Linked DNA regions of Drosophila melanogaster. The protein of the gene in region 1 interacts with the protein of each later gene in a biochemical or structural test. Each region holds a gene or a part of one and is shown in the gene's direction. Other genes may lie near its edges. The genes, in order: grk, ru and rho-4.

Region 1 (4,623 bases):
GACTCTCGAGAGAATGGCACAGGTGGGAATGCTTTGACCTATAAGTGGTTGGTCTATGTGCAAGGCAAAGATCTACCTGAACCACTTGAAAAATACATTAAAAAGGTAAGTAATTCCCATAAGCACGTACGGAGTGATTCAATCTCTTCTTCGCAATTCTAGGTGCGCTTCCACCTCCATCCGTCATACCGCCCAAACGACATCGTGGACGTGCACAGGTCTCCGTTTCAGCTTAACCGACATGGTTGGGGCGAGTTTCCGATGCGCATCCAGCTATTTTTCCAAGAGCACTTGCAGCAGAAACCCGTGCAACTAATGCACACGGTGGTGCTGGATAAAACAATGTGTGGACTGCACACGATGGGCGCAGAGACCACTGTGGAAATATGGCTGAGAGCAAAACAGGCGATAACGAAACAGAAAAGCGGCAAACCTCATCCTCCCCATGAACAGGAGACTGCAGTTCCTGCTCCACCTCTGGCTGCTCCGAATGTTTTAGAGCCTTCGGTTTTCGCCTTTCCTGGAGAGTCATGCAAACCGCGCACCATTTCAATCACTCAAAATAAGGAGGAACTTGATGACAATCTGTTTGCTGGTATCAACAAAATTGAACTCAGCGACGACATTGAGAAAATTGAACCAACTGTGTTGGTTTCAGAGCCCCTGAAGTTAAACTACAGTCCAAGAAAGCAGCCACCCACTCCGTCATCGCCTCCTAGGACTCAACTTCGGTTAAATGCGGCTCAGGTCACCGCTTCGAAGCCTTCTGTGGTCTATCTGCCAGTAAACGGCCGAAGTCCTAGGCAGGAATCCTTGCCAGAAAGGCAGCGGCAGGAGTTTTCGCCAGTAAAGCACTATCCACCGGCATCTCCGCAGAGAGCGTGGAAGGAATCCTCGTCGGATCGGCCACCAATAAAGCCTGTGCCCAATGGCCATCACCAGGGCAAGAAGAATGTTGTGTTTCAGAGAGCAGGAAAGCTGTACATTATCGATCCCTTGCAGCGCAAGCTTAAGCAGGCTGCAAAGCAACAATCCCTGCTGAAACCACAATTGAGTCTTCTTAAGCCACCGTCAGAAACGCGATGGCATATGCTGCAGTGCATGCAGCACGATCATGGGTACGCCAACATGAGCGGCGAGATGGAGGAAAAGCCAATGCTGTTACCTCCAATTGTGGACACTACCATACAATCGCGACCCCGAAGGCTGGAGCACATCTTTAGAAGTGCACAATTCCGAAATATGCGCAGTGCTGTGGAGTTCCTGCTGAGCCGCCTCCCGCTTGCGTCGATTGATCAGCAAAAGGAGTATCCATTCACTTGTATAACCCTCGAAGAGTTCCACAATCACACTGCTCTAAAACAACGTTGCTTTGAGTACCTGCGCGCACGTATGCTCCGTCGCTGTCTGATGCAGCACCACGAGCTGCATAAGTTGGACATTAGTGGAAAGGAACACTACTGGAGTTTACGGGAGATAGTGGCGTTCGCCAGGGTTCATGGTTATACGCCAGCTCTCAAAGATGTTTTACCTGTCGTGCATGAAAAGAGAAAACAAAAACTGAGCGATGAGGAGCAACTGGCTCGGCGTGTTCAGGCGCAACTAAAGGGCGAGCCCCAACCGCAACTGTCGGCCTATAGCAGTCTCAGCTCAGGCAATCGGCTGGAAGCTTGGATAACCAAGCAATCCGATCGTCTGCTTGGTCATGATCAACAGATGCGGGATAAGGAGTTCATCGATGTGTTGGGTGTGGACAAACCTCATCCGCTTGCGTCCAGGTTAACAAACTCAGCAGATGTATCTTTCCAAATGGTGAATCATCGCCAACTACTTTATCTACCTCCGCCGAAGCACTTGGATTCGACCTTGCAGCTGGTCCAGGAAATGTGCAAGGACATTAATATCACACTGGAACCGGAGGAATCTCCGCCTGGCGTCTCCCAGCCACTGGCTCTCTCGATGCTCGGACAAGTGCTGCGCACTTTTATTGAGAAATTGGTGCGCCGCTCCTTGGCGGCGAAACTGCAACAGGAGACTTTGGAACAGTTGCCACCGGCGGCGGCCAATGCTCCGTTGTGTCTCCAACCTCAGGACATAGGCCGTGTCATCAGTCTGTGTTCCGAATTGGATTTCCTCGGAAACAGTCACTTGGGAGTTGCTCCGATAGAACCACAAATCTAATGTGCAGTTGCCATTGTTTTGAATTTATTTTTTATCAAGTCCGCGTCATAGTTCAAATTCTACTGGGATATTAGTTGATATCTAATTAGAGCCTTGTACTCGTTGGTAAGCATAAATCTAAGCAATAAATTAACTAAATTAATGTCCGAAGAAATGAATACTGCGTTTTTAATTATCAACGATTATCATATTTTGGACGAAATCATGAGATGAGTGGTCATTAATTTTTAAATTTTGAATATCTGGCTGAAGACTTTTAAATTGTTTTATCAATATAAATAATAATCGCTACAATTGCATATTTGTACGAAACATGTAAACATTTTTAAGTCTTATCAGCTATCTTCACAGAGTAATATATCTTTATAGTGCCCTAGAAGTATGCAGTGAAAAGTGCCGTTAACAAATTGAATAACTGTTAAAGGGCGGTTTTTTTTTGCAGCTCTTAGCATATCCATATGATTCTTCGACTATTATCGGTCGCAATCGCATCTCTTTTGGGGGCGCTCTCTTCGCTCTCCCCGCTCACCGATCGATTTCATTCATGGCGCATGCCAATGCCGCCAATGTAGGGATGAGGTCCATCTGTTTCTCTGGCTCTGTTTTCCTCAGTCTCTTTTCCGACGTGCGCGCAACAAGACCTAAAATCAAAGTGGAGCAGAGAAGAGCCCGCTTCCCGCGCTTGCTGCTCTTTAGATTAACTAATTAATTACTTGCCTGATATATAAAATGATTCACGAGTCATTATAATAATTATAATGTCGAAGCCTTCTACAGGCCATATAGCAGCTCCAGTACGTCTAAGATAATCTATGAAAAGCTTTTGGATCACCAATTTTGAATGCTATTTCTTTTCCTTTTTTTTTTGTTTCGTGTGTGTGCGTTCGTGCGACAGAAAATGTGGAGGCGCTAAAATGTTCTATTTTTATTTTGCAGTAAAATCCACAAGGAGATGCAAGTGTGTAGTATGTTTCAGCTTCTGTTGCGACGCCAAATTGCATTTGCGGCCAGCACGCCGCTCGATCCCTCGATCGTTTAGACCCCTTCATTGACTCAGTTTTCCTAGTGGTGGACAATCGGTCCACCCAATCAATATTTTTCGGAGCGCCACCCCAAGCGTTTTCCAATGATGCAAATCCCATTTACTCGGATTTTCAAAGTAATTTTCGTGCTCTCAACAATTGTCGCCGTCACAGGTACGTACATAATCTCCACCTGATTTTTAGATTCCAATATTACGGCCAGTATTGCCAGGCTCTCCCACAAAAAAAGCTATTTCTAGCGTCGAAAAAACTGGAAAACAGCTACAACAAATCATAAAATATTTGCAGTGCTGATTATATACTTGTTATGCTAAAAAACTAAAACTTCCTTGAAAACTGTGTAAAATCCTGTATTAGCTTTCTGTTCGTGGATGATGAATGAAGTAAACTTCAGATAATATACATATTTGTGAATTATTTCTAAAGATTTTTTTGAGTTTCATTTAAATACTGTCCTTATGAACAAACTTTGCATTCTTAAAAATTAAAAAAATTAGTAATAATAATACCATAGGGAGACATTTTTATGATAATTTCAAAAGTTGCCGCACTAAAAACTGAAAGCTTTTTGTACTTCAACTTGAGCTTTACAACGTTATCTATTCTGTATCTTTGCGATCACTGGAAATGTCCTGTTTTCTTAATCGCACACCTTCTTCTGTATTCTGCAGATTGTTGTTCGAGCCGAATCTTACTTCTCCGAGAGCATACGCTGAAAATTGTGCAGCATCAGCACAGCCACATGCACGAGCATGCGCACGAGCTGCAGCAGCAGATCCAGGAGACCGCGGTTGAGTTGCTCAATCGCCTGGAGCTGCAGCGCAAGCAACTGGAGGCCTCGGCCCAGGAGGAGGCAGACCAGCTGCATCCCGATACGGATCCCAATCCGGACTCGGGCGGCCAACTGCCAAACGCAGACGACTCCATTGCTGCGGATCCGGAACAGGATGGGATAATTCTCGGATCCAGTACCGACACCTGGTTGGCCAGCGAAAGCAGCACACCAATCACTGATTCCGAGACAGTGACAACACCCGAAACTGTTACCCACACCGGAGAACCGCCACCTGACCCCAGTTCGTCCAGCACGCCTGACTCCACGACTCCCAGCCCGAACGACAAGGAGACAGAGATTCAGATGCTGCCCTGCAGCGAAGCTTACAATACTAGCTTTTGCCTGAACGGCGGCCACTGCTTCCAGCATCCGATGGTGAACAACACAGTCTTCCATTCCTGCCTCTGCGTTAACGACTACGATGGAGAGCGGTGCGCCTACAAGAGCTGGAATGGTAGGTACTCTACTCTAGCATAGCCATCCATTCACAGAAGTCTCTTCCTGTGTTGTATGGAACGGATGGAACTAACGATATCTATTAGTCTGTACCCAGTACATGGTAAC
Region 2 (4,623 bases), on another chromosome or scaffold:
AACAACGCGCACGAGAAGAAGTTGAAGGCGAAGCGACAGTGGCATTCGCAGGATATTTTGAGGGGGGTTGCAATCAATATCCTTTAAACACATTAGGCATATTTTTAATAAATTAAGTATTCCCCTCTTCAACCCCCCTCCATTTCAATGATTTCAGGTGTTTGCTTTTGCCCCAAAACCCCCGAAATTTCATCGCCTACGTCACTGCATGTCACTGTTATTTTTGATGTTTTTGTTGTTCGAACATCTGTTCGATTCGCCCCGTCCCTTTCGCTCCCCCTCCATCCCTCCACCCAACCGTAATCACATTTTATTGGATTTTATTTTGCGTGCGTTAAATCGCCTAATCGTCTTTGTTTTTTTTTCCTGTACTTTTCGGCTTATCTGTGTTTTGCATAAATCGCTTTTTGCCTTTGCTTTTCGCTGGCTGTTTGAATTTGTTTGATTTTTGTTGTAGCCTCTTTTGTTATTTTTGTGATTTTTTATTTTTGCTTTGCGCAATATTTTCACCTTGTTTTTTGTGTGTATTATTTTTGGCTTTTATGATTTTTTCTTTGTTTTCGTTTCATTTTCTTCATTTTTTTTTGTGCAATTAAACACGTTGAAGAAAATATAAAAAAATAAATGGGCAAGAGTGAAAATGAGCGAGGAAAAAAATATACAAAACACGAAAAAAATGACAGCTTAAAAAATTGTCTTTTTAGCCCATGCAATTTTTATGGGCAAATGTTTATCCTGTGTTTTCTATTTTACGACTGCGCGTAATGGAATTGAATTGAAAGTGTTTTCTTTGGTCGCGCTGGAAAAACATTTGCGGCACAAGATATTAATTATAAGCTTTTTAGTCGTTGCTAGTATTTAGTGCTAACTTTTAAACCAAAGCATTTGGTGCCTTTTTAATTTATTATCGAGCTACCTTCTTCATATTAACTATCTAGTAATGTGGAAGAAACTTTAATCTTAGTTTTAGTTATTTTATAGTAACTAGCTTGCATTTAATTCAAATTGCAAACAGCACCCCTATATTATATTAACAGTTATCCTCTTGGCACCCTTAATTTCATAAAAAAAGGGGGTCCATAGACCCTATTCAACTGCCACCTTATTCATCTTGAAGTCAATTCAAATCCAATCTGCGCGATTCGAGGTGGTATTCGCAGGGCGAGCGAGCGAGATAGCTGCTGTGTGGGAGTGAGAGGGGGCTAGGGCGGTACAAAGGGTCGGGCAGCGCCCTCATCAGCTGTCAGCGGCAGCAGAATGAGGCCCATTTGATGAAGATGTTTCTGCAATTGTTAAGTGTATCTGGGCCCTTTCGATGTTTGCTGTTTGCTATTTGCTATTTGAGCTGGGAAATGGAAGGAGGCCACAACACATCAAAATTATACTCGATATGTTAACAAGTTCAGATACAAAAGAGATGACTGGTCCCAAGAGATGCCAGAGATAGCCCACATAAATAAGTATCTCGTGGCTGGTGGTAGCTCGTATCTCGTGTCTTGTATCTTGTATCTCGTGTCTTGTATCTGATGGATGCACCTATTGACACCCAATAAACAAGGCGAAAACAGCAGCTGCGACCGAAGTGCTTTGATTTATTTATCAGGGGCAAGAAATCAACGTTGGGTGTTTTTTTTATCAAATCTATCTAATTATACATAAACTTTTACTTTTTTACAGTACCAAGATCAGTTTGCAAACGAAAAAACATTGGCCAGATATAATTTGAGGCATAAGCCTCGCTTTTTTTGTTTCCCCCAATTGTTTCACATTTGGTAATGCAATAATTGAGTTAATTAGCCAAAAAGGGAAAACACTGTTTCACAAATGGATTAAGGGGACAAAGATGCTAACTTAATAAGTGACTTGTTAATTATCCGTCGGCGGCTGCATCTGCAACTGTCTCCCTCTCGCTCTCCGTCTCTCCACTTTCTCTGTCGCACCTGCAGCTGCCGGTAAAAGCCAGCTGGCTCCTGGCTATCCCTCTCCCTTTCACTCGTTCGCCCCATCTCACTTCCTCACGTGACTCCTTTGCGTGTACCGTTCACCGGATGGTGGCCAAAAAAAGCAAAAAGCCACGACAAAGGAAAACTTGGCAACGCGTTCGAACCTCGAACATGTTTGCTGCACCTGGCTTTATTGTTCAAAAGGGTGGCTTAAAAGGGGGAGGCGGTTTGCAGGGGGGGGGGGGGGTTTCTTACCTTGGCCAGCAAGAGCCGGCTTTTCGAAAGGGGTGCAAAATGGAAAAAAAGCACACACACACAAACACACGCACAACTAACACAGCGGACTGTGCACATGTAAACCCTCCGGTAAGGAGGCTCTACCCCTTTCGGTTTTTGGCCAGGCCGGCACTTTGCGAATCTATAAAAGTATCGGGCCGCATAAAAAACGAGCTCAGTTGTGAACGGTACTTTGTAACGGCAACCGGCGGCAGCACGCGCAACTAACGGTTCACTGGAAAAGTAGAGAAAAACCACCGAGGAAAAACTTAGTGGAAAAGCACCGAACATTCGTACCGTTCGTAGCATTTACTGCTCGGATCGACTGCCGCAGTAACTTGTCGCTCATCCTCGAAAGAAATAAAAAATAGAAGCTGCAACCAGTTCACATAATCCTGCCCCCCCCGGATGGCCTGCACAAGAGTCAACCATTTCATCACCCCCCTCGGTAAGTCATAACACCCCCCGCCTAGGATTCCCACTCTCAATCCCCCATCTATTCCATATCTCACCCACGGAGATCCCGGCAAAACCCCCCAAAAAAATAAATCCATCGGCTTAAAACTTGGCAAAACTCAGCTCCAAACTCAACCATGCTGAGCTGAACGTATTTGACTAGAGCGAGCACTGCAAAAAATAAAGGTGTACTTCATGGTGCGAAAAATTATCGCACTGAATATATAATATTCTCTTTTACTGCCGTTAATATCCATCCTCTATTTATAACAGAAACCAATCTTATTAGTTAGCCATCGCAGTTTTTGTTTTCAGTGCATGTAAATCTGCATCTGTCAGTGCGGCAGCAGCTTCAGCATCAGTATCTCTGTCTGCTTTGTATCTTTTGGGTTGTAAAAACATCTGTGCTTGTCGTTCGGCATCCGTATTTGCTGCCGTTTGCAACGGGCCAACTGCAATGCTACCAACCACTCCCACCCACCCAGCCAGCCACCAGTCGCACATTGCGTATACGCAACGTGGAGCGCGGATTTAACTAAAAACCGTTTGCGCCCGAGCTGTCAGCAAATGGCAAGCACTTTCCGTTGAAATCTCCCCCGGGTCACCCGGTTTTTATATATATATGTATGTGTGGGCTGCCCTGCTCCATTTTCGATATCTTTTGTGGGATCTCGGACAAGTGCTACTTCTGGCCAACTTCTGGCCAGAACTTCTTGGCCAGCTAGCTACTGGTTGGTTGGCTATTCGATTTCCATTGTCTCTTTTCGAATGGAAACCCATGTGCGTGTAGGCAGGAGTGGCCAACGATCGATGGAGAGGGTCTGTCTGTGCGTGTGGGCGGTCCTCGGAGCTCCCAGTTTGGCCATCCATCTTGCCACCAAACCCACCAAGTTCGTGTGTCTCCAGGGCGAGAAGACGCCACATTTGGCTCACTTTTGTTTACACTTTGATTTATTTACGCAGCCTCGAAAAGTATTTCATTCAATCGCAACGATGCGAATTTTATTCACTTTCCGAAATTTTTCTATTCTCGTGAAACTTTTGCTAAACATAAAAGTGCCAAAGTCTCGAAATCGAAATGGAAATCAAAACCAAGATCCGTTTCAGATGCACAAATCATGGACAAAATGACAGGGGAGTTGGGGCTGCCTTGGGCTTTTGTCACTGGTGAAGTTTTTGTCGAGTGCATGAAAATACGAAAAAATTAATGCGTTGGCTATTCTTGAAAAAATCATACGCAATGCATTTTAATTTTTCGTGTCTCTTGTTCGTTTTTTGTTTGTAAATATATAGTTTTTAAATGTGTCAAGTTTGCTTTTATACGCGTCAGAGTGAGAGAGGCAACGCCGAAAATAAAAACAATATAGCGAAACAAACAAAAAAAAAAAATGAAAAAAAGTCGAAAAAAGACCCAAAGACCTGATTTCAGGGTGGCTTAGTTTTGTTTACCCATTTTCGGGCCACTTTTCTTTTACTAACGTGTGCAGAAGTGAAAAAGTTTTAAAGATATATGGTAAAAAAAAGTTTCCCAAGTCATATTTGTATCAAAGGAAAGCTGTGAATTAAAATTACTATCCAAGTTGTAAGACTTTAATTACCATTTGCTTCCGTTTGCTGAACTAAATTTGGCCAAAACTTCTGACTGCTATTAAATTCAGCAACTGATTTGTGTCGTTCTCCCCCATTTTCCAGCGCAGAAGTCAACAGTTTATAGTGTTTAATCATTCTTAAGCTGTCTCCACCTCCGCACCACCCCTTCACCCCTTCACCCCTTCACCGCTCTTCCCTTTTGGATCACCTTTGACCTTCATTAGTGTCAGACCCTCTCGCATTCGCATTAATCTAGGCAGACATTTCAAGTTGAGCTGTTGCAAGACAATGGCTCAAGCAGTTTTGTAGTTTGTCTTGTCGGCCAAGGTGCACACGCACACACTCCAGATACAGATAC
Region 3 (4,623 bases), on another chromosome or scaffold:
AATAAATAATATTCATTAACTTTTTTTTTCAAATTTAACTCCCTTTCAGCGTTGCCAGATTGGGTTGCATGCGGGATTTGATTATTTTTATTCACAAATTCTGGGTAGAGGGCCACTTGTGCTGCTCCGGCAGCTGGTCACACTGTACAGTCGCGCAGTTTGGTTTCTTTGGTGCGAGAAGACGGTTGGTGTTGTTATTTTTTTTTTAGTTCGCTCCGCTGTTTTTAGGTGCTACGCGCTTTATGGCCCGCTCTTAATCTTATCGCAAATCAAATCAAACCGCGGCCAATGAGCACCGTAATTTCACTTTTTGGCTAACGGTAACGGCACTTCCGCTCTCCGAATTCGATATTCAAACAGTCGCATTCCATCGAAAAGCGAAACAAGAAGTGGCCGTAAAAATGACCGTGAAAACAGTGAATCGCCAGCAGAGCCAAACGCCCACCCAGCAACGGCAATTGCATCAGCAGCGGGACGTCGAGAATGGGCTCTATCCCACGATTTCGGACGGAATATGCCACATTATTATCGGATAGAATACAGGAAATGTAGGATTTAGGTAAGGGAATAATAAATTTCTAGTAGTTTTCAAGTCATTTTGGAGAGCACATAGTGGTTAATTCATGCACCATATTAATGCATGGGAAATTGGCGAAAAACAAACACTCAGCCGGCACTTCGCGGCACTCACACCTACACAATCATACGTGCGTGTGAATGAAGTTGCTTGTGCTTGTGGTGGTCTGCCCTGTTGCCGTCTTCTTCTCACCCTCGGTGAAAGTTGAGTTCAATGAATCATCTGAGCATCGATCCGCTATGGCGGCGATCTTCACTCTTCGCACTCACTCAACAGGGGGATTCTATCTACGAATCCATCAGTTTCGGCCGCTTCGATTCTAGTTTAGTTAGCACTCTCTTCTGGTTGATTTGGGCAGATTCATATATATATATGTATATAGGTATGTATGATCATACGATTAGCATACGAGATAAGCTGCCAATCCAATCCAAACACAAGGCGCTGGAAATCGGCATTCCATACACATTCCTACTCTCTTTTGGCTGGAAATCTTATCCGATTTCCCTCGCTTCAAACATCAAAATACTCTGTTTGGGTTTCCCGAGCGTTGATTCATTAATCTAGCCATGATATAACAACCAAAATAATATCAAGCTATAGAATATATTTTTTAAAGAAAAAAAATCAGTCTGCGGGCATCCAGTTCTCAGCGAGAACTTAGCGGCATCCAGCTAATGGAGGAGACAGTAGTGGCTTCGCCACAGCAGCCATGCCTTCGTCGTTCCGTACGTCTAGCGGGTAGGATGCGTTCGCAGAACTATAGAGCCATTCCCAAGGTTATGAATTTGCGGCGCAGCACGCGGCTGGCGGGAATCCGGGAACATGCCACCTCCGTTGTTGTGGAAAACGGGACGCGCCTTCAAAGTGCAGTCCAAAAGAAACGCACGCGAAAAGTGAAACCTGCGCCCAAGGCCTGGATGGCCAATAATACTAAATGTTTACTGGGCCATCTTAACAATGGAAACGTTAAGCAATTGCAGGAGATTCCAGGGATCGGTTCAAAGACCGCCTCTATTTTGGCCGTGCACAGGTCAGTTGACATACGTTCATTTGCGTTTTACCCAATAACCCTTAATCCTTAATCCACATTTTTCAGATCCCGCCTGGGTTGCTTCAAGAATCTAATTGAAGTCAAATCCCTGCCCATTTGGTCGGGAAATAAATGGAAACGATTTTCTCAAATTAACTGTCTTGACACTTGATACAATTACTAATTAAATAGCATTTTAATTCGAATATAGTATAGTGATTGTTATTTATGTGGCATATACTTTGATTTTACAACTATAGTAGGAGTAAAAAAAAAGGAGCCGGATATCCTTAAAGAAACAGTTATATATGTGATTTATTTTTTAAATAGGCTTACCTAGGATATATTATATAATATATTAAATTAACAAAACAAGTTGGCATTTTAAATTAAAGCACAAATTGATTGTTATAAAAGTATTAAACAAAAAAAACTAGTCAAAAAAGAAAAACTTTCAAATAAATGACTTATTAAAAGTGACCAAATAAATAATATTCATTAACTTTTTTTTTCAAATTTAACTCCCTTTCAGCGTTGCCAGATTGGGTTGCATGCGGGATTTGATTATTTTTATGCACAAATTCTGGGTAGAGAGCCACTTGTGCTGCTCCGGCAGCTGGTCACACTGTACAGTCGCGCAGTTTGGTTTCTTTGGTGCGAGAAGACGGTTGGTGTTGTTATTTTTTTTTTTAGTTCGCTCCGCTGTTTTTAGGTGCTACGCGCTTTATGGCCCGCTCTTAATCTTATCGCAAATCAAATCAAACCGCGGCCAATGAGCACCGTAATTTCACTTTTTGGCTAACGGTAACGGCACTTCCGCTCTCCGAATTCGATATTCAAACAGTCGCATTCCATCGAAAAGCGAAACAAGAAGTGGCCGCAAAAATGCCCGTGAAAACAGTGAATCGCCAGCAGAGCCAAACGCCCGCCCAACAACTGCAATTGCAGCAGCAGCGGGACGTCGAGAATGGGCTCTATCCCACGATTCCGGCCGAGCGACGATCGCCCCCCTCGCGTCCGCAAACGCTGCGACAGGACACCATCGATATGGAGGAAATACCGCTCAATCAGACGAACAGCCAGGAGCCAGAGGATCGGCGCAAAATGCACGAGATATTTGACAAGGTATGTAGGACTTATAATACTCGCAATTCCCTTCCCCAGCACAAGTGGCAGCTCCTCCTAAGTATTAGATCTTTTCTGGTTTGTAGAGCCAGCTAACCAAGTAGTAGCCATGGTAACTATACCTATAAAGGTATTACTGTTCACACGGTGTTACAACTTAGCACTATATCTTTAAAGTAAATCTATGATGATTTAACGTTGATTTAATAGTTATGCCACATTATTATCGGATAGAATACAGGAAATGTAGGATTTAGGTAAGGGAATAATAAATTTCTATTAGTTTTCAAGTCATTTTGGAGAGCACATAGTGGTTAATTCATTAGTTAGAACCAGCTACGACTAATTATCCCATTTAAACTGGCTGGTGGTAGGCAACAGAAGGTTAATGCTGAGATCTTGTGAAATTGCACCATATTAATGCATGGGAAATTCGCGAAAAACAGAAGAACGACTGTAATTAAAACACACAGCCGGCACTTCGCGGCACTCACACACACACACTCATACGTGCGTGTGAATGAAGTTGCTTGTGCTTGTGTGGTCGGCCCTGTTGCCGTCTTCTTCTCACCCTCGGTGAAAGTTGAGTTCGATGAATCATCTGAGCATCGATCCGCTATGGCGGCGCTCTTCACTCTTCGCACTCTCCCAAGAAAACCCCACCTTTAACCCTTCAATGGGCCGGCGGGCGAAAACCGACACGATCAGATGCTTTTGTTTGCAAACATGCCAGTGGAACAAACTTAAGGTATACATTATTAAAAAAAAACCTTGTATCTTGTGGTGATTAATAAATACGTGAGATTTGATTCCCGTTTAACATTAATGGGTTAAGAATTCGATTATAGTGCCTAAATAATCAACTGCTATATGTACTTATATCATACAAGCATAATTACACTTTTCGGTGTATTTAACCCATCACCGCTTGTCTGTCAGTCAATTTTGCACTTTCGCAGAATTCCGTATCACATTTTATAAGCTTTTTTTCGCTGCAGTTTGTTTTCTTAAAGTAGAAAAATCGTGTGTGCTGCAAAAAAAAATGGGGGGGAGGGTGGTTGCCTACTGTTGGGGGACTGAGTTTTCTTATCGTGACAGAGGGTTGGGGGAAAAAGACCAGCAAAAAAAGAAGAAGAAAAACCGGTTATAAATTATTGTTTGTTCGCTTTGAGTTCTGCCTTTGTTGTTGTTGTTGCTCTTGCTTTATTCTTGGTGGCGTTAGTCACTTAACCCCCAACTGACACCCACCGCCCACCTGTTTGCCCGAGTGTTACCATTATCAATTTAACAATTTGTGGATTTCGTCTTTTTTAATTCTACCAGTGCGATTGCCTCAACGTGCAACGTCCTCTTGATTCACCATTTGTTTATAGCCATATAGAGTGTGTAGCGTTCATATCGCGTTCAATGTACCCCGGCAACAAGGGGATTCTATCTACGAATCCATCAGTTTTGGCCGCTTCGATTCCAGTTTAGTTAGCACTCTCTCCTGGTTGATTTGGACAGATACGTATATATGTATGTATATAGGTATTCTAACCATACGATTAGCATACAAGATGAGCTGCCAATCCAATCCAAACACATTCGATGCCGCTGGAAATCGGCATTCCAGACACATTCCTATTCTCTTTTGGCTGGAAATCTTATCTGAATTCCCTCGCTACAAACATTCAAGTGGCCAAAATACTCTGCTTGGGTTTTCCGAGCGTTGATTCAATAATCTAGCCATGATATAACAACCAAAATAATAGCAAGCTATAGAACATATTTTGTCAAAAAAAAAAAAATCACCAATCTCAACCAACATTATTCGTTGGAAAGTTCAACTTGAACCCGGAGGGGACTGTATCATTTTGATATTTTTGAAATATCATGTTTGATATGT

What was found.
Region 2: of the proteins of grk (region 1) and ru, one has a biochemical effect on the other in vitro, tested with the Drosophila melanogaster proteins (one study listed by BioGRID).
Region 3: of the proteins of grk (region 1) and rho-4, one has a biochemical effect on the other in vitro, tested with the Drosophila melanogaster proteins (one study listed by BioGRID).

What each region holds. Positions count from the first base shown.
Region 1 is NT_033779.5:8,431,767-8,436,389, reverse strand, and holds the start of grk (gurken), read left to right. Parts: upstream 1-2,791; 5' UTR 2,792-2,975; intron 2,976-3,117; 5' UTR 3,118-3,307; coding exon 3,308-3,377; intron 3,378-3,895; coding exon 3,896-4,513; intron 4,514-4,623. Other genes in the region: D12, read left to right, coding at 1-105, 163-2,181. UniProt on the Drosophila melanogaster protein: Critical for defining the anterior-posterior and dorsal-ventral axes of the egg. May signal directly to dorsal follicle cells through the receptor torpedo (top).
Region 2 is NT_037436.4:1,368,214-1,372,836, forward strand, and holds the start of ru (roughoid), read left to right. Parts: upstream 1-2,414; 5' UTR 2,415-2,667; intron 2,668-4,623.
Region 3 is NC_004354.4:11,597,592-11,602,214, forward strand, and holds the start of rho-4 (rhomboid-4), read left to right. Parts: upstream 1-2,246; 5' UTR 2,247-2,495; coding exon 2,496-2,735; intron 2,736-4,623.